Caenorhabditis elegans: one gene and its partner. The protein of the gene in region 2 interacts with the protein of the main gene of each other region in a pairwise test. Each region holds a gene or a part of one and is shown on either strand. Other genes may lie near its edges. The genes, in order: dac-1 and arl-3.

Region 1 (14,386 bases), on a different chromosome or scaffold from region 2:
AATAAGAATAATTTAGTGACAGAGTAGAAAAAAATCGCTCTGAAAAACTTTCTGTGCATTTTTTCATAACTTTCGAGGCCCGTAAAGTGGCTCCAAATGTGATTTGTTTCAGATTTTTCGAAGATTTCTAGGATGTTTAGGGGGCCTGAAATTAATCGGAATTTAAAAAAAAATTTTATTTTTTTGAAAACATCTGAAATTTTTTCACCCAACTCCATCAAGGGATTTTTCCTTTTTTTCCAAAAGAATACAAATTCCCAAAAGCTTCCAGAATACTTGTCTACCTTGAAATAGCCTAAAAATCATAAAAATTTTCAAAAATTATTATTTGGAGCAACTTTACAAGCCTTTAAAGCTGTGAAGAAATGGACTGATTGTAATTTCAGATCGACTTTTATTCAGTTCAAAGTGCTCCTCTGCCTTTAAAATTTTCGTAGGGACCAAAAAAAGGCCTCTTTCAAATGACATACTCGGCAATTTGGTTCTCCTATCTTTCGCACTTCTTCACCTTTCTTTCGCACTTCCACTGCTATATTTCGCCGATATAATCTAGGCGAAAAAAGGGTGAAAGATAGGTGAAAAAAGGGTGAGGAACAGGAGAACCAAACTGCCGAGTAGGTGTTATTCCAAAGTTTGAGACTAAGTAAATCCACTCACCATGCTAGCTCAAACACGGTTTGTTCGAATTCATTTTGTGAATCAGTTCTCAATTTAAATTTTCAAGAAACAACCCAACTAAATTTAGCAAACCTTAATCTCGACGATATCCTTCGTTGTAATCCTTTCATATTCTCTAAGATCGGTTTCAAATTGTTTTCGAAGGTCTCCAACCCCCTTCTCCGTCTCATACTGTGCATGCATCTTCACTTCATATAACTTTTTGTCGAACTTCGCCTCTAATGCTTCAATGTCGTGATTACAGTTACATCCTTGTGAAATTTGTGGAATCGGCATTGGAACTGGCGGTCTGATAGGACTTATCGAGTTGCGATGGTATGTTCGACTATACGGACGTGGGTAGGAGTATGGGTTGCCGTAATCTGCTTGGGGAGTGTTGTCTGTTGGGAATTCAGACCGTTGTAGGGATCGTCCACCTCTACTCTTCTCTTGTGTTCCTTCTTCGCAATCGTTGATTATATCTCGTAGGCACCTGATCTCTGCAGCCCAGTTAAACCTGCAAGATTTTTATAGTAGGCAGGCAGGCACGTTTTCAAGTTCCTAGTAACATTTATTTTGGCTCAGACATAAATGTTTCAGACTGAACCATTCACTATTGTTTCTGTTACGCAACGGCGCCCGCGCCGGCCTCACGGCGTCACTCACGCCGCATGTATCCGACTGTATAGTGCGGGGTGGTACCCCGAACACGTCAACAACGACTTTTTCGCACTACGTTGCGCACACTAGGGTGGCGATAAGTGGCAACAGGTCGACCTGCCTATTTCACAGCAGAGCTTCACCAACAATTCAATCATAGTTTTGAAAATAAAAATTACATTAGCATGATCCATTTACTCAAATTTTCTTTCGAGGTAGACACTTTATTCATTGAAGTTGCTCAAAGATAGGCTAGGTCGACCTGTTGCGACCTATCGCCACATAGCACACGTGTCGGCGTGAGGCCCGCATTTCGCGCCTCACTCAGTTGGGAGCCCTGGTTTTTGTGAAACACTTTTTAAAAATGAATACAACTCACCCAAAGCCCTCGCAGAGGTGCTTGTTTCCCGGGGAAAAGGTAGGCAGAGATGATCCTGCTGGTTGATAGAGTATGTTTAGTAATACCGGTAATAAAATTAGTGAAGCTGTCATCTGAAATTTCAATATATAAAATAATGCCACATTTCAACTTTTCGACCTAAAAATGTTTCAGTGCAATTTAGCACTACTTTCGAAGTTTTGAAGACATTCAATATCCAAGGAAATTTTAAAAAACAGGTTTTTGAAAAGAGTTTTAGATTGTCAACCTACTTGTGAGCACTTTTTAGAAATCGAAAGTCTAAATGTTTTTGGTGCATAAGAATCTTGAAATTAGTGCAAAGATACTATGAAAAAATGTTAAAACAATTTGTGTTATGCCGCTTAAAATTTTGCTTCCTACCGTTTTAAAATAAATACTTAATTTTAAAAAATCTAAAACACAAAAAGAAAATGGCAGTTGCTGTGCGTAAAAGCATCTTAGAGACAAGAAACAAAAAGTACACATTGGGTAGAAAGTTTATTGGGTATCATAAAGAAACAAGCCCTCTTCCATTTCTCCCATAAATCAGGTCAATGGGACATGAGGACACCCGGAGCAAATGGAAAGGAAAACTTTGAGCAAATGATGGATCCAGGAGAAAAGAGAAGTGTGGATTGAGAGAAGGGGAAAATTTGGGAAGATATAAAACAGTTGGCATTTCTTTTTTCCATCACGCTTTTTGATATCTTTCTGGTGGAAAAATAATGAAAAAAAAACGATATTGTTGTGGTCAAGCAATCCTGTTGGACTTTGTGCACAAGACACGTTGTGATCGAAACAAATTTTGTTGATTTGAAAAGTTTCCGATCCTTTCTGATATAGCTAACGAGTACTTAGAGAGGTCCATTTCAGTTTTTATCTGGAATTTTTTCACAACAAGGTTCATATACGAATTACACAAGCCAATTCTTATCGCTTTCAAGTAGTCAAAATAAATCATATTTGGTTTTCAGAAAAAAATTCAACGAATTTTAACACTTTAGAGGTAATCAGTAATAGTCGAATTTTGATGCATTCAAATTTTGACCAGATTCATTCTGAAAGTGCGGAAAATCAGTGTTATTGTTGCAGGGGAGCAACAATAGTCAAACATACACTGTTAACTTTCCGACGCACTCTAGATATCCCATCAGCCGTCTTAAAAAACCAAAGTTCGCCACTTGTGATCCATCTTGTCAATGCTTATCCCAACACAACAAATATGATGAATTATTTCCTGTGTCAGTCAGTGAAGCGCCCCGCAGATTCCGATCATTCAATATGTGGGGAGGCTGGGGGAGGATAATCCATCATCTCATGCCCGCAAAAAATCAAAATTTTGATTTCTGGATCTTTTAAAAATCTCGAAAGAAGTTTACCACTGTGGAGTCCTCCTGGTTGCTGAAAAAATCCTCCTGGTTGTTGAAAAATATGCTTAAAAAATTCAGGCTGGCGCGGGTGCCGTTGCGGCGACCTCATGGGAGTCTTACGAAAAACGGTTGGAATCGGAAGATGAAAGAATCGGAATACGCGAAAATGTAATTTCTATTGTCTTCCATTTTTTGTCAACAAAATCGCAATTTCATATGACAGTTTATTTAGTGCTTTTTTCTACACAAAAATACTTAGTTCGTAATTCTGAAAAAAATTGAATTGATTTCAAAAAAAAAGCTTCAAAGTTCCACAGAATTTCCGTCCGAAGACTGCTCCTCCTTTTCCTTATATCTTCTCAGGTCCGCATTCGCCAGCAATAGTTGTTTTTTGACATATTTGTAGCGTTTTTCGAAAGCCGTGCATTTCTTGTTCTGAGTTTCGAGCTTTTTGCGCAAATCGCGTTCTTCTTGCACAATCTTGTGAAAACTCTCTCGAAGAACTTGTATTTCGCCTGAAAACTTATTTTTTGAATTATTTTTGCTACGTAGTTTTTTTTTGTTGTTATATCAATCAAAAATTCGCCCTATCCGTTCAAAACATATTCACTTATTGTAAGAAAAAACTGATATCATTCATTAAAATGTTTCAAAATAATATTGGTTTCATTTGGCTTCCCTTAATAAGTAAAATACCGGATTAGACTTGAAATACATTTCAAAAGAGTGGAATTTCAGAAAAAGAGAGATTTGTCTGAAACCTTATTCACGATTAGTCATGGAAGGCATTGGAGATCAAAAAAGTAGGATTAGTAAAAATACTTTACAGTTATCAGGTCTTGAGAAATAAGTGACAAGAATAGTTTTAAAATGTTTGGAAATGTAGGACCCTTGCAATGAACCATGTGTTATTCAAGAAGAATATAGTCCAAAACTCACTTCGCTCTTTCCATAGCTCTTCTCTTTCATGCTTGAACTGTTGGCTAGCAAGTTCAATTAAGGACATTACTTTATTCATCATAGAAGCTTCATCGTTTTTGCCACTACTACTACTACTCCCAGCCTCCATTGACATTGACAATGAATTTGAGTTGGAGCCACCACGATCACTAACAGACGTGTTTGGTGAGGACTAAAATGTTTAAGGTTGGATGCAAACAAACTATAAATGTGTGCCTCACATCTTCTTTTCTCATATTTTCTAAAGAATCTGAGTCATTCTCAGAATTTCCTCCACTTTTACTTAGATTCAATGGCGTTATATCATCAGCGTCTCTCTGATTTTGATCATCATCATCTGCTCTAAACATTGCTGAAGTTATGAACAATAGAAAATGACTCGACTAACCTCTCAAAACTATTTTTCGTCTTCTGAGAAAGCGCAACAAAGTGTTGCATCAAAATTTGTTGAGGCGTCATTTGCGGTTGCATTAGTTGGTTGAATACGGGCCCATTCACAGGCTCTAAAAAATTGAATTAATCGAGTATATCTGTGAAAAGTTTACCTGAATCCGTTTTATCTTTCTTAATTATTACTGCGCCGTTATTCCAATCATCAAAGCTTCTTTTTGATGGGCGCCCAGGGCGGGTACTGAAAGCGAAGGATTAGTAATATTTAGATGTACTTCTTAAATTTAATGATTTTTTTGAAATTCAGGAGCAATGTTTTCGGGACATTAATTTCAACTATTAGTGCCTATTGAATCTCTGAACTAATGCTCTAATGATTTGCTAATATATTTACTAGAGCTATTTTTTCCCAAAACTACGTACTCAACAGTAGCAGTCAATCATTTAAAGTTTGATCCTTTATGCTAAACTTCTACGAAAACCGGGTTAACCTTGGTAAATCTTCATCCAGGAGGGACGCTTTTTGCAATAGGGCTCCCATCAGAGGTGGGCGGATATTTTTTTCGGATATTTTCTAATAATGAATTTATCAATAAGTATTGATGTAGTTATTCTGGAAGAAATGTATCCGAACAAAAGAGTAACTATTAAGCAACATTTTAATATGATAAAACCTAGGAAAATTCTACAAGTTTTCTGTATAAACGATATGCAAGTCCATTATCCGATATCCGTAATATCCGATATCCGATGTTGCTCGGCTAATAAGTTTTAAGGTCTCGGTAAGGAAAACTTGTAGAATTTTTCTAGGTTTTATCATATTAAAATGTTGCTTAATAGGCCCCCCCCCCCCCCCCACTCTTTGGTTCGGATACATTTCTTCCAGAATAACTACATCAATATTAATTGATAAATTCATTATTAGAAAATATCCGAAAAAATATCTGCCCACCTCTGGCTCCCATGAGGTCGCCGCCACGTCGCCTGCGCCAGCCTCACGGCGTCAATCACGCCTCATTTATCCGAATGTATAGTGCCGCGCTGAACCCCGAATGTGTCGGCCGCTTCCAAATAATTAGCTTTTCGCACACCGTTGTGCACACACAGCGGCGTCGACGTGAGGCCCGCATTTCAGCTGGGATCCCTAATGTAAGTGATAAGGAAACAATTCTCGTGAAACACCTTAGAAATCACCTGTCAGAAGTTGTTTCTTCGGTAGGAGGTTTAAAACTCTCCATATCATACTCTTCATAAAAAACCAATCTTCTACCAACTGGAAAATCCATTTTTTTCAAAGTAAAATAACTTGTCGTAGTTTCTTCTGTAGCTTGGAAAATAGGAAGTGAAAAAACCTCTATCTTATGAAGCTAAGCGCATAGTAATAGCGTAATAGCATTCGCCTGACTTGACAGAGTTATCAGAAATCAAAATTTCCAAGCCAAGTTTGATGCTACTTTGGAAATATGACACTTTCATCACCTGATGATCCCAAAAAGTAAAAACGCCCACCAAGTGCTTGTACAATCGTCATAGAGTTTCTCGAAATCCGAAGTCTTGAGTAGTTTACATCGGTTGACACCCGGCTGGATAGCTCCAAGTGATCGAAGGGCGCGCACCTAAAAGTCGTGGATGGTGGAGATTTTATAGAAGGATAACGATAAAATATCCGTATTTGCATGCGGATTATGAGAGATTTTTATTTTCTTTAAAAAAGAGATTAAACATCAGATTCTTTTACGGGTTATTTAATTGGTTTAGAATATTGTCAGTCAGGTGAATTTTCAAATTATTCTAAAATTTGTTAGTGGACAAGAATTTTTACCTGTTCTACATTGCAAACCATCGGATGAATGTACAACCGTTTGAGTTTAGTGTATACCGTATGAAGTCCTCCTACCATATTTTTGAGAAATACCTCGTACACCTAAACTTCTCATGTCTTCTAGACTATTTCGTTTTCACAAAAAAAGCTCATACCTGAGGCAAACAAATCATTTCTTTGCCGTTTATGTCAAAAGCGGCGACGTTATGCCCGCGGAACTTGATCAACTTGGCTGCAACATTACAAGAACCATTCAGTGAAGATGAAGAGCCAGAAGAGGACAACGAGGATTCACCAGATGAATCTGTAGTGTCACGTGGTGAGGTCGAGGATTCTTGATACTCATATGGAGATAGAAAATTGGACGAAGAAGTGTTAGATGAGGAATTGTTCGATGAGGAAGAAGAAGAAGATGGGTTGATCACGAATCCGCCTGGAATTTTTAATTTTACACTCTTTCTGTTCTTTTTGGAAACGCTTGGCATACTACATTTTATGGCTCAGCTTAAAGGTGAAGTAGCGCCATTGGGGATTTTGTCTAAATACATTTATAATGATCCAGAACGACTTAATATAATAATAATACATTCCAAAAAGTTTTAGATTTTTTATAATTTCCGGACAAATTTTTGCAAAGTGCCAAAAAAAAAAAGAGCTTTTAAGGAGATCCAAAGCAATGTCGCATGTTCCGACCCCTACAATGTTTTAATAAAAATAATAAAAACAAAATTGCAGTATAAAAAAGTAGGAAAAAAAATTTTTTGGTCGACTTCCAAAATTATGAGTGGCAAAAACTGAGTAATTGTCACTTTTTGACAGTAAATAAAAAAATTTCAAAAAATTTTTGAAAAGTTTTTTTTTTATTATGATATTCTGTCATTTTGGCACCTATGAGTACTTTTTAACACTTCCCCCACTGGTGCTACTCCATCTTCAAATATTCTGCAAGCTCTAATCGCTGTTGATGCATCTTAATAACCCAAATACTACTTTTTCGGCAATTTTAAGAGTTTTCACTCAATCCTACCAAAAAATTTTTAACTAACCGAATTGCTTATCTGCCTAATATAGTAAACACCTCTAAAACATTGAAATTGTTTTTCAAAAAAATTCCAAAAAAATGGCGATAAGTTTAGTTTCGCCGCTTAAACTATCACTACAACTCTCAAATCTGAAACAACATGCGTTATTAGACCATGTGTACATCAACCTCTTTCATCGATATCCATATAATCAAATACTGATAATAGTTGTAAGCAATAGGTAGAATTTGTATGTTTGATGTTGATGTGAAATGGAATAGGAATTGAAGTGAGCGCGAAAATAAGGTATCCTCATTTTTCTCTGGCACAACCCCGTTATCCCACCGACAAATCCGGATTACCATCCGAAAATCCTCACACAGGTAATGTACGGGTGATTTTCTAATATTTCTAAGTGCTCCTACACATAAATATTTACCGATTTTTCGTTTTTGATAGAGTAAGCATGTATTAGATGACGCTCATGTGGGGAATAAATAGGCAAAAAAAGAACTGACGTACTTATTGATGACATACCTAGTCTATTTCGTAATGGTGATCAACCCTATTGTTCCAGAATTTCTACGTCACAATTTCATTTGAAATTAAGTTTAAAGTCAGCTTCGATTATTGATTCCGAGCTTTCTGGGAAAAATATCTTCAAGAAAATGACATCACTTTTTAGAGAGCAATGAAAAATTGATATACATACGTATCAGGGGAGAGCAGCAAGTGCCGTTCGGCAAATTTTTTTGTTTTTTAATTTTCAATTCCGGCAACTTCCAAAAACAATGTGCAAAGCTATAATTTGCCGAACATTTACGGCAATTGCCGTTTTTTCGGAAAAATTCGGCAAATCGGAAAATAGCCGGTTTGCACGATTTGCCGGAAATTTTCAATCCCGGCAATTTACCGATTTGCCGGAAATTTCAATTCCGGCAATTTGCCGACTTGCCGGAAAGAATTGCACAGTATCTCCTTGCACGTAAAAATGATTTTCGAATGACTTGTATGCTCTAATGCGGTGTGAGAGCAATAGATGCTGCAAGACTATTGAGATAATACAATAGTTTGTTACTTTAAAGGAGTAACTTACTCTACAACGCTTACTTACATAATCCACAAAGAAAATTAGAAAATTAGTATGTTTTAAAAGATCGTCCCAAGGCGTCCGCTACTCAAATTCATGTTTCAGGTTATAACAAGTTTCTTAAAACGAGAAAAAAAAGTCAAAAACTTTTTGACGCGAAAAATGTAGTTCTATATCAAAGAAAAATCTCTCTTCTTTATTTTGAATTGGAGTCAGAATCAGTTAGATATTCTAAAGTTTATTTAAAAAAATTTCTTTCAAAAAAGTCTAGCTTAAAACGTCAGAAATTGTCACGGAATCAAAAGGGCTCATTTTTTAACGGTTTGAAATTTTCAAATACCTGCAGCAAGTTTTTGAAAATATCCGCCAAGTTGGCTGAGTTCCTGCATTGCTGCCAGCGAATTCATTCGAATGGTTCAAGAAGACACACGAAACTCTTCACATTCAGATGAAAGAAATTCGCAACTGAATGGTGAAATGTGGTTGCCATCATTTCGCAGATTAGGATCTTGAAGACAGGTGAAGACGAAGACGAAGAACTGAATAGGAGTTCTTCTGTTCATTACATTACAGGACATTCCACCTTGAGACAAACTTAGTTTATTGCTATTGCTATTGAATGAAGGAGGAAAAGAAAAAGGAGGAAAGGAATGAGAAAATCGGCATGAATGGATTTTTTTCTAATTGATTTGTAACCTGAAAATAGATTTTGTGGAGAAGTTTGTCTTATACGAGAAATTTGAATATTTACCTTCTCGTCATCAATTTCAGTCAGAGTAAAATTTAAAAAAAACATTTAATTTTAATTTTAATTATTGTTTTGACTATGAAATGTCCCTGTGGTGGATTTTGCTATGAAAAGTATTTGAAATTAGTGCCAGTGGGCGGTGGGTGGCAATTGCCGTTCGACAATTTTTTTGTCAACAAATCCGGCAAATCGGCAAATTGGCGGTTCGCCGATTTATCGGAAATTTTCATTTTTGGCGTATTCCCAAATTGCCTTTCGTCGAATATCAGCTTTGCCGGAAATGTTTAGAGGAATTTTTATAAGACGGAAACACTTGATTGCCTTTTTGAAATTTTTTCCCGTTTTCTTCAATATTTTCATAGAATTTGCTTACTTTTCAAAATAGATGTAGGAACATTTGTAGGACGCGTTCAATTTTGCCAATTGAAGTAGAAATTCAGAAATTTCCAAAAATCAATTTGCCGATTTGCCGGGAATTTTCAATTCCGGCAATGTGCCGTTTTTTAGAAAATTTTAAGTTTCTCCAGCTGAAAAGAAATTTTTCATTAAAATCTTACTGTACTCTTTTCTCTTGAAAAACATCCAGCTCCCCCTTTAAATTTGGAACTTTTTATACCATTCCTCTATATAATTATTTTCTCTCGCCAAGAAAAAAATATTTCGAAAAATGGCTTCATTTAATCGCCAAAAAGTCAAAAATTCAAAGTCAGAAAAATTTAAATTTCGGGAAAAAATAATTTAAAATTTGAAAATGTTGATAATTGAAGCCATAAAACAAGAGATCAAAATCCATTTTTGTAGCTGAACTTTTGCTCACTCACACACACACAATGATTCAGAGGCTTTCCAATTTTTTTTGGGTATTTATAGACTTGCTGCTGCTCTGAAGCTACTAAACGTGTAGCCTACATCTGCATTGATATAATCATGGCTGAATGAGTGAAACGTAATTTGAGCTCTAGACGCATGAGAAATTCATTTTTTATAGTGGTGCAAGTTCTTGAGGCAAATTAGAGCTGATACAGTACGCTTATTTGTGAAAATTATAAAAAATATCAATTTAGTTGGCAATCTTTATAAAACAGTGATCATCCGGATAAATTCTTATTAAAACGCAATTAGACTAGGGCTTTCATGAAGTCGCCGCATGTATCCGAATGTATAGTGCGGCGGGGGATGTTTTTCGGAAGATAGTAACAAAAACTGTATAACCATATTACTCAGGAGTCAAATATGTACCGCACAAGCTTTTTCTTACAATTAGAAGTTGAGACAAATTTCAGATCAGTGATAAAATTGTTTTGTGTCAGACTTGTCCGGAACTAATTTTTTTTTGCTAAACAATCCGAATTGAGAATAAACACTGAAAGGTCATAGGAAATCATAGGAAATCAAAATCATTTTTTACATTTTAGTACATAATCAAAAATTTTTGGTAAGAACCAAACATTCTCCAAAACATCTTTTGAGGCAAGAATCTGGAGCCAATGAAGATTTAAATCTCAATCTAGATTTGCAACATGGCAACGATTTCAAGTAGAAAAGTGATTATGTGGTTCAACAACTGGATAATCCAAATGGTTAAATCAGTTGTGATTATTTTCAAAACTTAATTTCGGGAAGTTCCTAATAGTTTTTCGGAACAGTTCAATACCTTTTTGTATTCATTCTATCATTCACCGAAAAAACGAACTAAACGAACAACTTAAGATCCTTATCTACTTGTCTCTTTACATTAAATTCTTCTCCTTGCTAATGCAACTTTTTCAAACGATTGTTGGGAATGGTTTCTAATGTCATGTTCTAGAGAACAGGGAAATATAAACTTTACTGTCGTATTTGTAGGAATGAAATTCAATGAAAACAGTTGTCTTGTTTAGCAAAGTGGCAACAGAACTGTCCAGACCTGACACCAAGTGTATGGAGATTTTTGTTAAATCGTACAACCGTGGTAAATATGAGAACTTTAAAGCTCATTGTTACCGTTCAAGCAATTTCTCAGAAAACTATATAAAATGCTGCAGAACGTTTTTTGCAAGTATTTTGCCCATTTTTTCTTAATTTTTAAGTAAAAAATTAAGCTCGAGGCGCCTCTGGTGGCCATTTTTAGAGTTTAAAACTCTAAAGAAAATGTGTAACAGCACTCAATAATTTATTCCTCAATCACAGTGTTTTATAACATATTCTTGTCAATGATGATGAAAAAGTGCGTGGTTTGTTGAAATTGAATCTCAGAAAACACAACTACGCACGCACAGACACACATAAAAATGGGAGAAGGAGTCGTTGCCTATCACATTGTTGCTTTCGGGAGGGGAACAACATTTGTCGAAGGAGGTAGTGGAAGGATCCGAGGTACGAAAAGAGAGAGCTGACAAAGGATATATCAGATGGATGGTGAATGGTGAACACACGATTCGGAAATAATTATTTCGGCGAGCATTCTGGGATGAGATCGAGGGAAAGGAGACCGACAGAAGAGAAGCTCCTCGTGATTTGAGGATGAACGGGATGGAGGGAAGGATCTACAACTAAGGAGAGGATATGTGACTACGGGGTTGAAATCATGAATTTTGATTCATTAAGAAGAAACAAATCGGTGACTACTTAACATTTGTGACAATCGGAAGTGGAATTTATGAGCAACCGCATTTCTTGGCGATCATTCCGTTGACATTGGCGATTGAGACGCGTCCGTCGCGGTTGACATAGATCAGCTTGATGTAGTCGTACTCGGTTGGATGGCAGCAGTATCCGATCTCAGGATTGGAGACTTTGTGAGCTGCGCGCATGATCTTGCTGTGTCCGGTTTCCGCCAAGTTGAACTGAAATATTTTTTCATTTTGGAAACGTTATGAGACAACAAGAAACGTACGTGGTGTGCGTTATAGTGGCAATCCCCGCGGCACATGTAGGCATTGTAACGTGGTGGGGCCACGATCCAGTCCCATCCGATCTTTTCGAATTCGATTTCGAGGTCATACAAGCAGCACCCCTTGGACTGTGCTTCGGCATTGCAAACCGGTTTGGCATGAGAACGGCGTTTGCGGGACCCCTTTGGACGAGTGGAGAGCTGAAGACGCATGTTGTCAACGTCAGCAGTGGTCTGTTGGGGATGAAGGGCAACGTTGCGCCCGTCGAGCATTGCCTTGACGAAGATACCTTGGATCGGAGAAATTGTGAACCAACTGGAATATTTAAAATTAGTCGCCTGCAATTTGTTTGCTCGTCATACCTTTTGACAGTATCAATTGGAAGTTGAATGCTGATACGTTCGGATCCCTTTGTAGCGAAAATTCCAGAAGTGACCATCTCTCCCATTGATCCATCCTCGTTCTTCTCGTAAACTTGAACTTGAACATCTTGAAGCATCCCTGAATCCTTTGCAGGAATCTCAATTGATACTGTGAGTGTGGCCTGAAATTTGATAATTGAAATTTAATAAAAGGATTCTTTTTAAAAAAAAACCAAACGATACCTGAAGAATATCGCTTCTTTCCAAATCATTTGTGACGTCAAACTTGGCAACAAGCTGCGACGGGTTCTCTCCATAACTTGGATCTTTGGCGGTGTAGAATGACATTTCAACGCCCATATCCTGCTCGTCCTTCTCCAGTAAGTCCCTATACATCTCCAGGTAGACTGACTTCATTTCTGGGTCCATTGGCTTCAATCCCTTTGGTGCCTCTTTCATGTTCAGCTGGTCGAGAATTTCGTTCTAAAGAATGTAAAATGAAACATTAAAGTAAGACACAATCACAGTGATCAAACAAACTAGTGGACTAGTAAAGTTTCGTCAAATCCGGATAAGCTTGAATGATCTTACAGGATCAAATAATGCTCACCTTAAGGTACTCTGTTCGGTGCTGCTTCATCTTTTCAATACAAACACCTGAGTTGGTGCAGTTGAACGTCAAACCATGTGGGAGGGAAAGAAGGAAGATAAACACCGGGAGTGAAGATGCCATGAACATGGCTGAACTTCAAGCGGGCTGAACCGGGCAGTCGAAAAAAAGTTGAAGATGTAGAAATAAAAAAGCTTTGAACAAGTTGTTGTTTTTTCCAAAGAAAAACTTTGAATGAGGGCTTAAACTACTGAATTCCCCCCTTTTATCCCATTCTTCTGAACTCCGCCCATAATGAGGCGGGCTCTCATATCCATATTGAGATCTCAGAGGGGCGTGGCCTGCGCAGCGATTGGACATCCATGTGGTAACTCATCTATACCGTAGAGAAAAGAAGCTTCCAGAAAATTTTGCGGAATTGGCCCCTAATAGGTTTTCTGTTCATGAAAATTTATTCCAAATTTTTGTACTTTTCAAAGATTCTGTGCGAATATATTTCAGGAGTAAAACGTTGTGAATAATTCTAGGTCTGCTTGAAAGTTGTAATTTCTCATTAATTCAATTTTCATTAAGTTAACAAGGCGATTGCTGTTCGGGTATCAGATTTTTTCGATAATTCAGTAATCGCCAAAAGTTCCGATAGTCGCTTATTTTAAATATCTGCAATTGTAGACTGATCGGAATTTTTTTACTACACACTCAATACTTATTCTGGTCACTTGCCATTATCAACCTAATGTTATCAACATAATGGTTTGAGAACATTTTGAATATTTTGAAAATTGCCGAAAATGTCGTTGTTCGCATTTTAAAAGTAGCTTAAAATCTTGTTGAATTTAGTCAAATTAAACTACAGATTTGTTTCTTTTACATTTCGATTTCTCAATAAGCAGCCTAACATATAATTAAAGAAAAAATTGGTCTGATAAAACATGATTCAAGCTTCTGATTAAATGTAACAATTGTTTAACATTTGTTGAGGTAAGAACATTCAAAACACCGTAAATTCCTTAAAAATAAAATTTATTCTCTAATTCAAAATTGAAAGGGTACACTTCTCGGCAAAACGTCGCAACTTCATAGCAAACTCCTGCAACTTAATAAAAACATTTATATAACTTTGTAAAAAGCTGTTAAGAAGTTGCGAAAACCAACGGGATTGTGAGCGAAATTTAGCTTTGCATCTGCTAAGAAATTGCAAAAGTCGTCTGAAAAGCTGCAAAAGTTTGCTTAAAAGCTAAAATGCCTAATTGTTGATAAGAAGTTGCAAGAGTATGCTATGAAGTTAGGCCGTTTTGCCGAGTTGGCATAAATCTGAAATTTGAAAAATCTGAAAAGTGTTTACATGAATTTCAAAAAGATAGAAGAAATTATTGAAATCCGTGAAATACTTCTAGCTGGTCTTGCAGGCCTAATTGTAAG
Region 2 (10,801 bases):
TGCATAAAGCTATGGTCTACAAAAGTGGGGAAAATTGGCAAAAGTTCAGGACAGTGGAGAAACTTTCAGTCCAAGTGTTGGAAAACCGCCAAACAAAAAAGGCTTCTCGCGAAATTTAGAGCATTTTTACATGTTCAAATGCCTGTCTCAGAAAGGAAAATTGTTGGTCTTTCGTTTTCAAAACTATTACTGGTACTGGAACAAAAACAGAAACAATGATACGTTAAGAGTCAAAGTTAAGCTGATCGCTATGACCAGTCACTCTACAAGAAACACCCATATCGCCTATAAACTCATTTATTGTATTTTGTTCCTCATTAGCTAGCCTCCTCCTAAAAAGCTATGCCATTAAAATCGAGAAGCCTCATCGAGAACGATAAAAGGAACAATTTCGAAAAACCGGCTAAGATATGTGATATCTGACCCAGCGTGTCATCACCCTTTCCGACAATTTGATCAGGAAGACGCATCGATGTTATTGTTAGATTAGACATGGAAGGGGGAGGGGGTGCCAAATTGAAATGATCTGACAAGAGACAGGGGGCTAATTTGGCAATCTGAATTTTCTAATAAGTGTTAGTTGATTAATTATGTCTCTACAGTCAGAAATATGGTTGGCATGAATGAGTTTCGTCTGAGCTATTATATGGATCCACCAAGGTCATAAAAATAGAGATAACGAAATTGAAGAGGTACCAACTAGTTGTTTGATAGTCAGCAAAGTTGGTACATACAATTTCTACGTCACAACATCTTGGCAGTTGTTTCCCCACAGTTGGGCACACGAATTTTTTTCTGCATCAAATTTGCCATCTCAAAAACTGAATTTTTCTTTTAGAAATATTTAAATTTTTTTAGCTCGATTACCCAAAATTTTAACGTTTACAGTTTTTAAAGATCTAAAGAGCTAGTGATTTTGTTTTGATAGGCTTAGAATATAACCGAATAGTCTTTTTTTGTATCTAACTAATCAGCTTAATCCAGTGATCAGTCTATAATATTTCAACTTTCACTTTTTATCTCCTTCTCTCAACGGTGTATTAACTAGATTCGCTTTGTTTTTAATTGCCCTTTCATCCCCTCAACCTTTCATAAAATGTTTCCGTCTGTGTTGTTTCAAGAAGCGTAACGACTACCTAGATATCATCAAAAATCGTATCTTTTTCATCTCTGGATCAAAAAGTGACTTGATTTCCTGTGTCTGAACTTACACATTGAAGAAATCAATAAAATTAGGATTTCAGGTCAAGTACAGTAATCTATCACGCCTTGAAGTAGAATTCGCTTCGTGCCAAATTTTTGATAAACCTTTAGGTACGGTAACGTTTTCACTAAACGAACTTTTTTAATAACCTTGTCACCCGTTCCGGCCAGTCTCATCAATCATTAACGTGTCCAATTTATCACCAAACCTTTCTTCTGAGACCTCAAGAATAATGGATCAAAAGCTAAAGGGACACAAAGCCTTTATTTCAGCTCAAAATTTCTTGGAAAATGCGAAAAAATTAATTAACCCATACAAAACATAGAAAAATGGTAGTCAGACCTATACAGACAGAAAAATGTTAGTCGGTGGGTTTCATTTTTTGCGGTCAAACAATATTTCGTGACATTTTGCGGGTTCTTGTGATGGTTATCTCTCGGATGGTGGCTTGGGCCATGGCACCAAGCAGAACCTCTGGGCACGAGACAAATGCGACGTTGGAGTTTGAGTAGGATGCGCAGAGAGCGCGGACCTGGAAAAAATGAATTTTATTCATTGAATTTGAATAAAGCACTTTTGAAAACTTACCTCTTCCTTCAATTTATCATTGACAGTAACCCAAATTGTGTAGACTCCTTTTGGATTTCTAATCAGACATTCCTTAAGCATAGGAATATCAGTGGAAGAGTCTCCGCATACCAACACGTTGCCTTCCTGAAAATTTCTCATTGTAATGTTCCTCGAGCAAGTGAGAGATTATTATTTTTTAAATAAAAAAAAACGTGTAACACAGTTTTCACATTTTTATAGACATCAATTCAAAAGATCTACTTTTAAATAGCAAACATAGGTTTCAAAAGTAAGTTTAATACATTTCCTAATGTTTTTGTACCTTAAATTTCAGAGTATAATACTTTGAAAATACTATAAATTCACTTACCGTCAAATCACAGTGCATTTTCTCACACAGCAATCTTAATCCATCTCCCTTATCGAATACGTGACCATCTGTTTCTGTCTGGAAAACACTTTCGGATTTTCCCCTACAATCTGTAAAACATACCTTCATATAAACCTTAATGTCAAATTCAGTGCTAGCCAATTGAAGACGTGTACCATGTGGATCCACATCCTTCACAATTTTCTCAATTTCTTCGTGTAGCTGTTTTCCTTGAGCCTCGGTGATTGTCTTGTAGACGTCTTGGAACGCAATGGTCAAGTGACCGTAATGCTTTTGTAGTCCTGAGCCAACCCATGTGAATGGACGGAACTCGGGCTCCTCTAGCAAGTGAGAGATTCGTGTGTACGCCTGAAAAACTGAAGTTTTGAGACATTTGAAAAGTTCAGCTTACGCTTGCTAGGACATCAGCCTTCTCTCCTTTCAAAATTGACTCGTCTTTGAAATTATGACCATTGTCGATGAACCACTCACGGCCACCGGATGCACCAAAATAGTAATAACCATTTGGAATAGTTGACACATCAAGAACACCGATGTGCATTAGAGGAGCTGTAGTCAGAATTACACAGGTTTGAGCACAGCGGCGAGCAAATTGGGCCTAAAATAATTGATAAATATTATAGTTATTTGTCAAGCACAACTTGTGACAGGTGAAAACAAAAAACTATCCACTTCTTGACTAACATTAATTTTTTTAAAGTTTCAATTTTACTAGAATATTTTTGGTATTAAAAAAATAGCAATAAATATAATACTACAAACTATACTTTTTCATTAAACTACATTACAGATGTACTATGATTTATTTCTAGGTTGGTGATAAACAATTCCTTATACTGAACTTCTACGAAAAAATTCAAACTATAATCACATATTAGTATAGAATTAAAATTATGACTACGAAAGTGTAACAGAGCAGAGAGCAACAGAGCAAACTTTTTTGAACCCTTTTTCTAAAACTTAAATAATATCTACAAATTCTCCAATTTTCCATATTTGCATACCTGAATGACTCCAGAATATGCTGGCTGAATACTTGACGGATAACTGCACGAATAACTTTTCAAAGTTCCGTCTCGATCGGTGAAGAAATAGTGGAAATGATCAGCAGAGTAGAGCAGCTCAACGGCCTAAATGTTAAAATTGGTTTGGGGTGGTGGAGGTATAAATTGGATTTGATAGAAAACTCTGAATTTTTGATTCTCTGGACAATTCTGGATGCACTTAAAATTATTCCTAACAGTTATTTTGGTGATTCAAATTGTTCAAGTAAAATGTTCAGTTAGCCATAGTTGATTAAGGTACTTTTAATAATTTTCCAAAATTTCATTTACAAAATTCAAAAAAAATTATTTTTTCTTTAAAAAACAATTCAGAAAAAATTTCCAAACTCGATGGGGTTTGTTTTCCTAGAAATATCCAAAATTGAAATTAATTGGCACTTTAGTTATGTACTACCCTTACATTTTCAACTTCCTTCTTATAGGTTTCCACTGAAATTGGATGTGAGCTGATGAGTGTCTGAAATTTAATTTTTTTAAATAAATGCCAATTACATTCACTATTTAAAAAAATTATTAATAAATCCACGTGGTATGATATTTATTAACTGATATACGAAAAAAACATGGAAAAGGAGATACTAAGCATGAGAGACTGCCACAGAGATATTGTAAATGGATAGAGATGGTGGGGAGAGAAGCACTTGCGCTCGATTGATAACTTAGGGCAACACTGGTAATACTGTATACTCCCTGGAAGATTTTTTGTGTGGGATTATACAATGATCTATTTTTTAGAAGCCGGTTTCAGGTTACTAGCAACCCAAGTGATTCCGTCGTTGATGCCCTCGTTTTTGAGCGCTGAGCAGGCTTGAATGTGCCAAGTGCGGTCGCGGAGAAGGTCCAGGTTTAGTCTGAAGGTGATTTTGGAGATTAGAATTTGGAGTTTAGGAATTAAGCTGTCAATGCATTTTTATTGCAATTTGAAATTGGATGTGAGCTGATGATAACTTTTCAAAAAAAACTGAATGAATACATTTTCTATTTCTATCAGTGTTATTAATATAAGAAGGTTTAGCTTATTAGAGAAAAAGTCCTTGAGGGAAATGGCATTCGCTTTTTATGTATGAAGGCAAAGGACAAACCAGGTCATTCGTTTTAACAACCATAAATTGTTATTGTTGAAGAAAAATACTTACTTTCTGGTAATTTCCTCTGATGACGCTGCTGTGACAAGATCCTGTTTATTAGCAAATATGAGCACCGGAACCTTGCGAAGCTTCTCCTCGTCAAGCAGTTCGCCGAGCTCAATGTTCATCTCGTCGAACCGCTTCTTGTCATTACTATCGATCACGAAGATCAGTGTGTCGATATTTTCGTAGTAGTTGGACCAATACGGACGAATCGATCGCTGACCTCCGATGTCCCAGACGTTTAGACGTATGTCACCCATAGCGGCGACAGTCTTCACGTTGAATCCCTTGGTCGGTGTGACGTGTTGAACATCTTCAGAGGACAGCTGCTTCAGTATTGTCGTCTTACCGGCGTTGTCGAGTCCTAGTAGAAGGATTCGGATTTCGCGGCCACTGGGTGACTTGAATGATTTCAGAACATCGATGAGTCCCATTTTTGTGAGAGGTCAAGGGATAGGAATACCAGAATAGAATTCGAACGAAAAACCGGAAACGTGTGAGAGAGAAGGAGAGAGAATGAGGACAACGTCTGCAAGTGAGAGAAGAGAAGCTTACTCTCTAGCTCCCGTATGTTACCATAGAGACGTGCATGCTCGTGCGTCTCTGCTCCTCCCATCTCTTAGCTTCTGAGCTCAAATGTTGAGCACGCATTTTGTGTGTGCACGTTTGTGAGTCAGATGAAGTGGCCGGTGGCGAAAAATCGCGTGATGAGCTCTCGAAGGTTTCCATTACAATTAACTGATTTTAGGATAGATTTGGGAAGTGCAAATTAGAAAATGTACAAGTCCATTGTTGGTGAAATGGGATTAAAAGTATTTCGAAATATGTTGATGAAGTATGAATATTTAAATTTCCTCAAATGATGAATATTATGATGCATGTAAAATTTGAGAGGAAAAAGGAATTTGAAAAAAAGGTTGCTCAAAGTTGTGGTTTTGTGTATTTTTTCGGAAATTTCAGAATTTCAATTTTAATTGACAAAATTGCACGCATCCTATGAATGTTCCTACATCAATTTTGAAAAATATACGAATTCTATGAAAATATCTTAAGAAAATGGGGGAAAAAACTTCAAAAAAGCACAGTGTTTCGTCTTATAAAAAACCCCCGACAAATCGAATATTTTCGGCAAACCGGCAAACCGACAATTTGCAGACTTGCCCAGTTTGTCGACAAAAAAATTGAATAAAAAGTAAAACTTGGTGCCTGCCTGATTGCCTACAAATTTACTAACAGCTGAACTTGCAATAATTTTTGCATACAAAAAAACCATAAAATGCAAAAACAAAGACTCAAAAATTTCAATAATCAAATATCAAGTTTCATATCAAATTTTTTGCCGCAGTCGTTTTAGTGTGCATATGTCTTCATCGATTTAAACAATAGGTCAAGTGTAAGCCTTGCGTTATGAGTATCATGTGAAAAAAGCTCAACGCATTCGAAATTGCCCCCCGCCCTCTGCAATTGTTTTTCGTGTCATCGAGACCACTCTCGCTCCCGGCTACATAAAACTTTTAAAAGTACACATTCCATTGCGTATAACCTATTTTCTATAGACATTTTAGATAATCAACCTTGACCAAGTTTTTCAAAATTATTAGGTTTTACAAATGATTAACGTAGTAGTGCGAATAATTTCTGGCACCGTATCTTGTTTTTGGTAAGACTCGTTCCAACTAATTTCAAAACCATATGATCACTTGAAAATGTCCATTCATTTCTGAATCTAATAAAATAATTTTGTCAATAATAACAAACCATTTCATCCAGTTTCCCTCCCAATGCCCTAAAATCTCAAGTGCACTTGATGTCCATACGTCTTCTTTTTTTCTCACTTTCCTCCTACAGTTCGCTTTTCCTCATTTTCAACTGCTACTAAAATTCCAATATCGGTAGAAAAAGTAGGTCACCCTTCTCATCCATTTGCCAGAATAAGGGGGAGGTTTGCGAATTTGAAATTTTATTTTTCAAGGACAGGTGCGGAGACACAATATATCGCTATCTCTATTTTCAACTTTTTTGACAAGATGGTATCACGGTTGGTGGTTTTGTTTATTTCGCTGACTTTTGTTGGAGTTTTGGAGACGGCGGATATTTGCGACATTCTGTGAGTTTTTTTTTTAAATGAAAGTGTTGGAGGACCATCATTTTGTTACTTACTGTTATGTATTCGAAGAATTAATATAAACAGGAATTTTAAATGAGAGGCTGAAAATACCGTTTTAGATTATTGTACTTTTAACGTTTCGACTAAATTTATTGACAAAAATATTTCAGCGATGCCAACTATTGCTTCTACTTCTCTGACTCGGCCTGCTATATTAACCTATGTCAATGTGAGGCTTGTTCCCAACCAGACAAAGTTCAAGCTTTGCTCCTTGACGATTCTTCAAATTCCACCCACGAATCTCAAGGAAGACTCTGCCCATCTTGGTGTGGACACTTAAAATCAAACGAGACCATTGTGAACATTTTGGGCGCTGTGGTAAGTTTTTATTAAAGTAGAAAAGTAATTTTTGCGTTGTTTTAGGGAAACTCTACAACCGATCTGCAAGATGTTTCATTTGAATGTGACGATTTGAAGAAAAACTGCCTTGCCGTAAAGAAGTACAACGGTCATTGCTACTTTTTCGAGAAAAATTGTGAATATGATGCGGCTATTTCGAAAAGGGGAAAATCAAAGGTAATTTCGCTTTTTGGAGTAAAGTTATTACTTAAATTGATTCAAAATTGGCCTTAATAGACCAGTTTTATAGAAAACTCTTGAAATTTTTGAAAAAGGCAAGTTCAACTTTGAGCCATGATAAAAATTTTTAAGTTCTCAAACGTTCTCAGTATTTTTGCATTTTAAGATTTTTAAATATAGTTTACCTATAAGAACAATTTTCAGACCTCACGAAACCCAAAAACCGCTGGCGAATGCTTGAAACTGCAGAAAAAATGTAGTCAAAAGTACAAGAAACATTATGCTTGCAAGACTTTCAGAAGACACTGTAGAAAATATAACTTGCCAGAAATTGAAGTCAATAATTCAACATTGACGAGTAATTCAGTGAGTTATAGAGTGTTATAGCCTTATTTAAATAAATAATAACTACCGTTTATAAATAAAAATAATGAGAAAATTCCAGACCCATGTTCAAGTGAGCCCATTGGAGCAGTGTCTAAACTTCCAAAAAATCTGCGCCGCCAAGTACAAAAAGCACTTTGCGTGTCGTCAATACCGCAAGAAATGCCTGTCCTACAACCTTCCCGAAATTCATATGGAAAAGTCAGAAGTCACACAAAAGCCACCAAACCAACACAAGAAGCACATGAAGAAGGGACATGGAATGAGAAAAGAGCACAATCACAATGTGAATGAGACTGTGGTGCTGTCAACAGACGAGATACAAATTGGAAATGAGACACTGGTGGAGACACTTTTAAAAGATAATTAATTGTTTTACACGCTTTAAAATTTGAAGAGGAGCACAAAATGAATAAATTAATAAACGAAATAAGTATAATGCTAGTTATAATTATAAATTTCTTCGCGTCAAGACCAACGCGATTAAAAAATATACTCACATCTACAAACTGCTCCACATTGTCAGCATCATCACTTTGCACATAATCGATAAAACTCAAATCTCTTTCAAACTCTTGCAATTCATTATCAATCTCGAAGTGAGCAACTTCCTTTGAGTCCGGTCCAGATTTAAATTCGGCGGTATGGGTACCAGGTTTGCAGATCTGCTCCAAGGATTCTTTGGCATTGCGGAGAGAAATCGCAAAATGGGAACGGATTGGTATTCCTTTCAGGACGCGACCCACAATTTGCCGGCGGACATTGCGAGTTTTCATCATCAGAGAGAAGAAGTCGTCGAGGGTTTCAACCTAAAAATGATAAGCACTAGTTAATTATTTCAAACTATGTTTTACCTGAGTTGGCCTGATAACTTCATGTGTCCAACTTGGATCCAAAAATGCACAACTCCATCTCTCAATATCATTGGCCATTATAAACTCGTGAAGCCTCTTTCCATGCTCTGCTCGTACATCCTCTGGTTCCAAAGCCGCTGAGTAGAAGGCATCGCAATAAGAGTCCGGATCAAAGACATTGGAAATTCTATGATAATTCTTCTCCTTATCGCTATAAAGCCCAGCAGTAGTGAACTGAATTTCAGATCCTGCACCTGTAGAGAGTACTAGTCCAGCTTTCGGATTACAGACAAGCATTTCTTTGGCGACGAGGTTCATTCCATCCTTCTTCGGAGTTACTACACCAATGTCCATTGCAAGATAGGCAGCAACTAGTTCACTTCTTGGAAGCCCGTCAGTTTGGAAGACCAATGGTTTCCATGTGGGGTTATTGGGATCTTTGAATATTTCATTGATCTTATCCGCAAGATCAATACATTCATCCTGATACACTCGATACGTATCCACACTTCTTCGATTTGTAACAGCGATTTGAAAAAGTACATCCTTGCCAATTCGATCTGGATGTCTCTCGAAATACCTCTTATAGGCCTGAAGCTTTTCCATAATTCCTTTGGTGTAATCGAATCTTTCGACCGAGAAGAAGAATCTACCGTCTGGGGCTGGTGTGTCTCCCATGACGCGTTTTCGGAGGTCATTTTTGAGTTTGATGGTTTCAGGAAGATCCACAAATTTCAAGAAATCGTCGTTCTTAATGCTCACCGGGAAGACTCCGAGGGAGCATGTCCATCCTTCATTTGTTACTGAAAATGTATTTCTTTAAGTTTCAAACCAAGAAGGGTGAAGGTGGGTAAACGATTTTTTCTGGCATTTCGGCAAACTAGCAAATTGCCGAGGTTGAAAATTTCCGGCAAGTTGGCAAACCGGCAATTTGCCGATTTGCCGAATTTGTCTCAAAGCTCAAAATTTTGATCAGACTCGTTCCTGAATGCTTTACCAAAATATGCTCTCAATCAACTCACTGGAATAAATATCCATCTTATTGTCATACACAATTTTCGCGGTTCCAAAGTAATGTTGAACAAGTTCTATATATTTTGTACGATCCCTGTGAGTTTGGAATCCAACTTTAGTAAACCTCAGCAACCCTCTGAGCACCGCAAATCCCACAGTGGAGTACTTTGAGAAAAACTCTCCAGGTGGCTGGAAGGGAATGTGCAAGAAGAATCCGACTTCTAGATGTTGATCTAAAGACTGCATGATCATTCCAACAAGCATCAAATGGTAGTCATGGATCCAGATGAAATCTTGTGGCCGACTGTTTCTCACGGCGTCAATTGCGAATTGGTAATTGACTCGAACATAGGCGCACCAATGAGCTCGGAGAATTTTCTCGTCGTCGTACTCACTGACAATGTATTCTGGGAGATTGTGAAGTGCAGGCCATAGTAGTCCGTTACTGATGCCTCCATAGTAAACGTTATAGTCGTCTTCTTGAACAACTACCGGATTCAACTTGTAGTTTCCGCGATTGTAATTGTTGAGGACACCAAGAAGAGACATTTCTTCACGAGCTTTCTTCTGTTTCTCATTCTTCGGTGCATCCATATCGTCATCAGCGAGAACGTGGAAGAACACTTCCGCAATTGTTTGCTTAATAAGTGGAAGCCCCAGAGTATTCGTTGATGGGAATGATTCCGGGATGGAGGCTACTGATCCGGGTCTGGAAATTTTATGATTTTACTTATAATACGATTTTAGTCTTTATATTTCTCACCTTTTTTGTTTTTTATCATTAATGTTCATTCCCAAATTAGCCAACCATAAGTTTTCGTGATCCTTCGACATAACTGGATCCACACATGCGACCAGTCCTCCGGAACCTTGCTTGATCTCCCAGTCGCCGGTTTTTTCACGCTTTAGAGAAACAGGTGGTGCGTTGGACACGTTGATGACACGTTGTTGGAAATGTGACGTGGCAAGGCCGCTTCTTGGAGCTTTTGGGTCTTCCTCGCTTTCGCTTTCTGTGTGAGTTCCAGAGCGAACGTTGTGAATGGCTGAAAATTTAGAAAATATTAGGATTTTGTCGAACAATTTGAAGTTAAGCCTACCTTCCTCTCCCTCACTATCACTTGAAACACTGCATAGAGAAGTGTGTGATCCATAGCGAGCCAGACGCTTTTGTAAATGGTGATACCTTTCTCCAAATTGTTTGGCATTCACTCCAAGTAGAGACTTTCGAATCCCGGGTACCGCCGCATAAAGTTCTCTAAAATGAAACCCGTGTTGCTTGGTTCAATATTTTTCAAAATTACCGCAATCGATTTTTACCAGTGTTGACGTCGTACAGAGTAAGGGAGAAGAGAAGCGCGTCACGGAACTTTGTACCTCTTCCCAGATCCGAGTCGAAAATGTAACCGGCGCAGTGTCTGGAAATATAAATTGTCCTTTTTTTCAATTATGAAAACTCACTTCCAGAATATAACCGTATTAAATCCCAACGACGACACAAAAATCT

Evidence for each region.
Region 1: the proteins of arl-3 (region 2) and dac-1 interact in a two-hybrid assay, tested with the Caenorhabditis elegans proteins (one large-scale study listed by BioGRID).

Annotation. Positions count from the first base shown.
Region 1 is NC_003281.10:810,645-825,030, reverse strand, and holds dac-1 (Dachshund homolog dac-1), read right to left. Parts: upstream 8,887-14,386; 5' UTR 8,761-8,886; coding exon 8,712-8,760; intron 7,562-8,711; exon of another isoform or gene 7,470-7,561; intron 6,693-7,469; coding exon 6,415-6,692; intron 6,362-6,414; coding exon 6,260-6,361; intron 6,054-6,259; coding exon 5,947-6,053; intron 4,679-5,946; coding exon 4,593-4,678; intron 4,551-4,592; coding exon 4,436-4,550; intron 4,390-4,435; coding exon 4,269-4,389; intron 4,220-4,268; coding exon 4,027-4,219; intron 3,983-4,026; exon of another isoform or gene 3,962-3,982; intron 3,603-3,961; coding exon 3,391-3,602; 3' UTR 3,301-3,390; downstream 1-3,300. Other genes in the region: clec-149 (C-type lectin domain-containing protein), read right to left, coding at 751-1,174, 1,697-1,809; Dauer larva development regulatory growth factor daf-7, read right to left, coding at 11,756-11,944, 11,995-12,307, 12,355-12,536, 12,598-12,837, 12,965-13,093. UniProt on the Caenorhabditis elegans protein: Transcription factor. Plays a role in the thermotactic response.
Region 2 is NC_003280.10:14,601,204-14,612,004, reverse strand, and holds arl-3 (ADP-ribosylation factor-like protein 3), read right to left. Parts: upstream 5,534-10,801; 5' UTR 4,794-5,533; coding exon 4,366-4,793; intron 4,081-4,365; coding exon 3,954-4,080; 3' UTR 3,687-3,953; downstream 1-3,686. Other genes in the region: pugs-2 (ShKT domain-containing protein), read left to right, coding at 6,387-6,466, 6,637-6,844, 6,890-7,042, 7,250-7,411, 7,491-7,799; tps-2 (Alpha,alpha-trehalose-phosphate synthase [UDP-forming] 2), read right to left, coding at 1,593-1,736, 1,793-1,918, 2,145-2,222, 2,268-2,513, 2,557-2,763, 3,170-3,295, 3,630-3,686, 7,930-8,238 and 6 more. UniProt on the Caenorhabditis elegans protein: GTP-binding protein that may be involved in protein trafficking; may modulate vesicle budding and uncoating within the Golgi apparatus.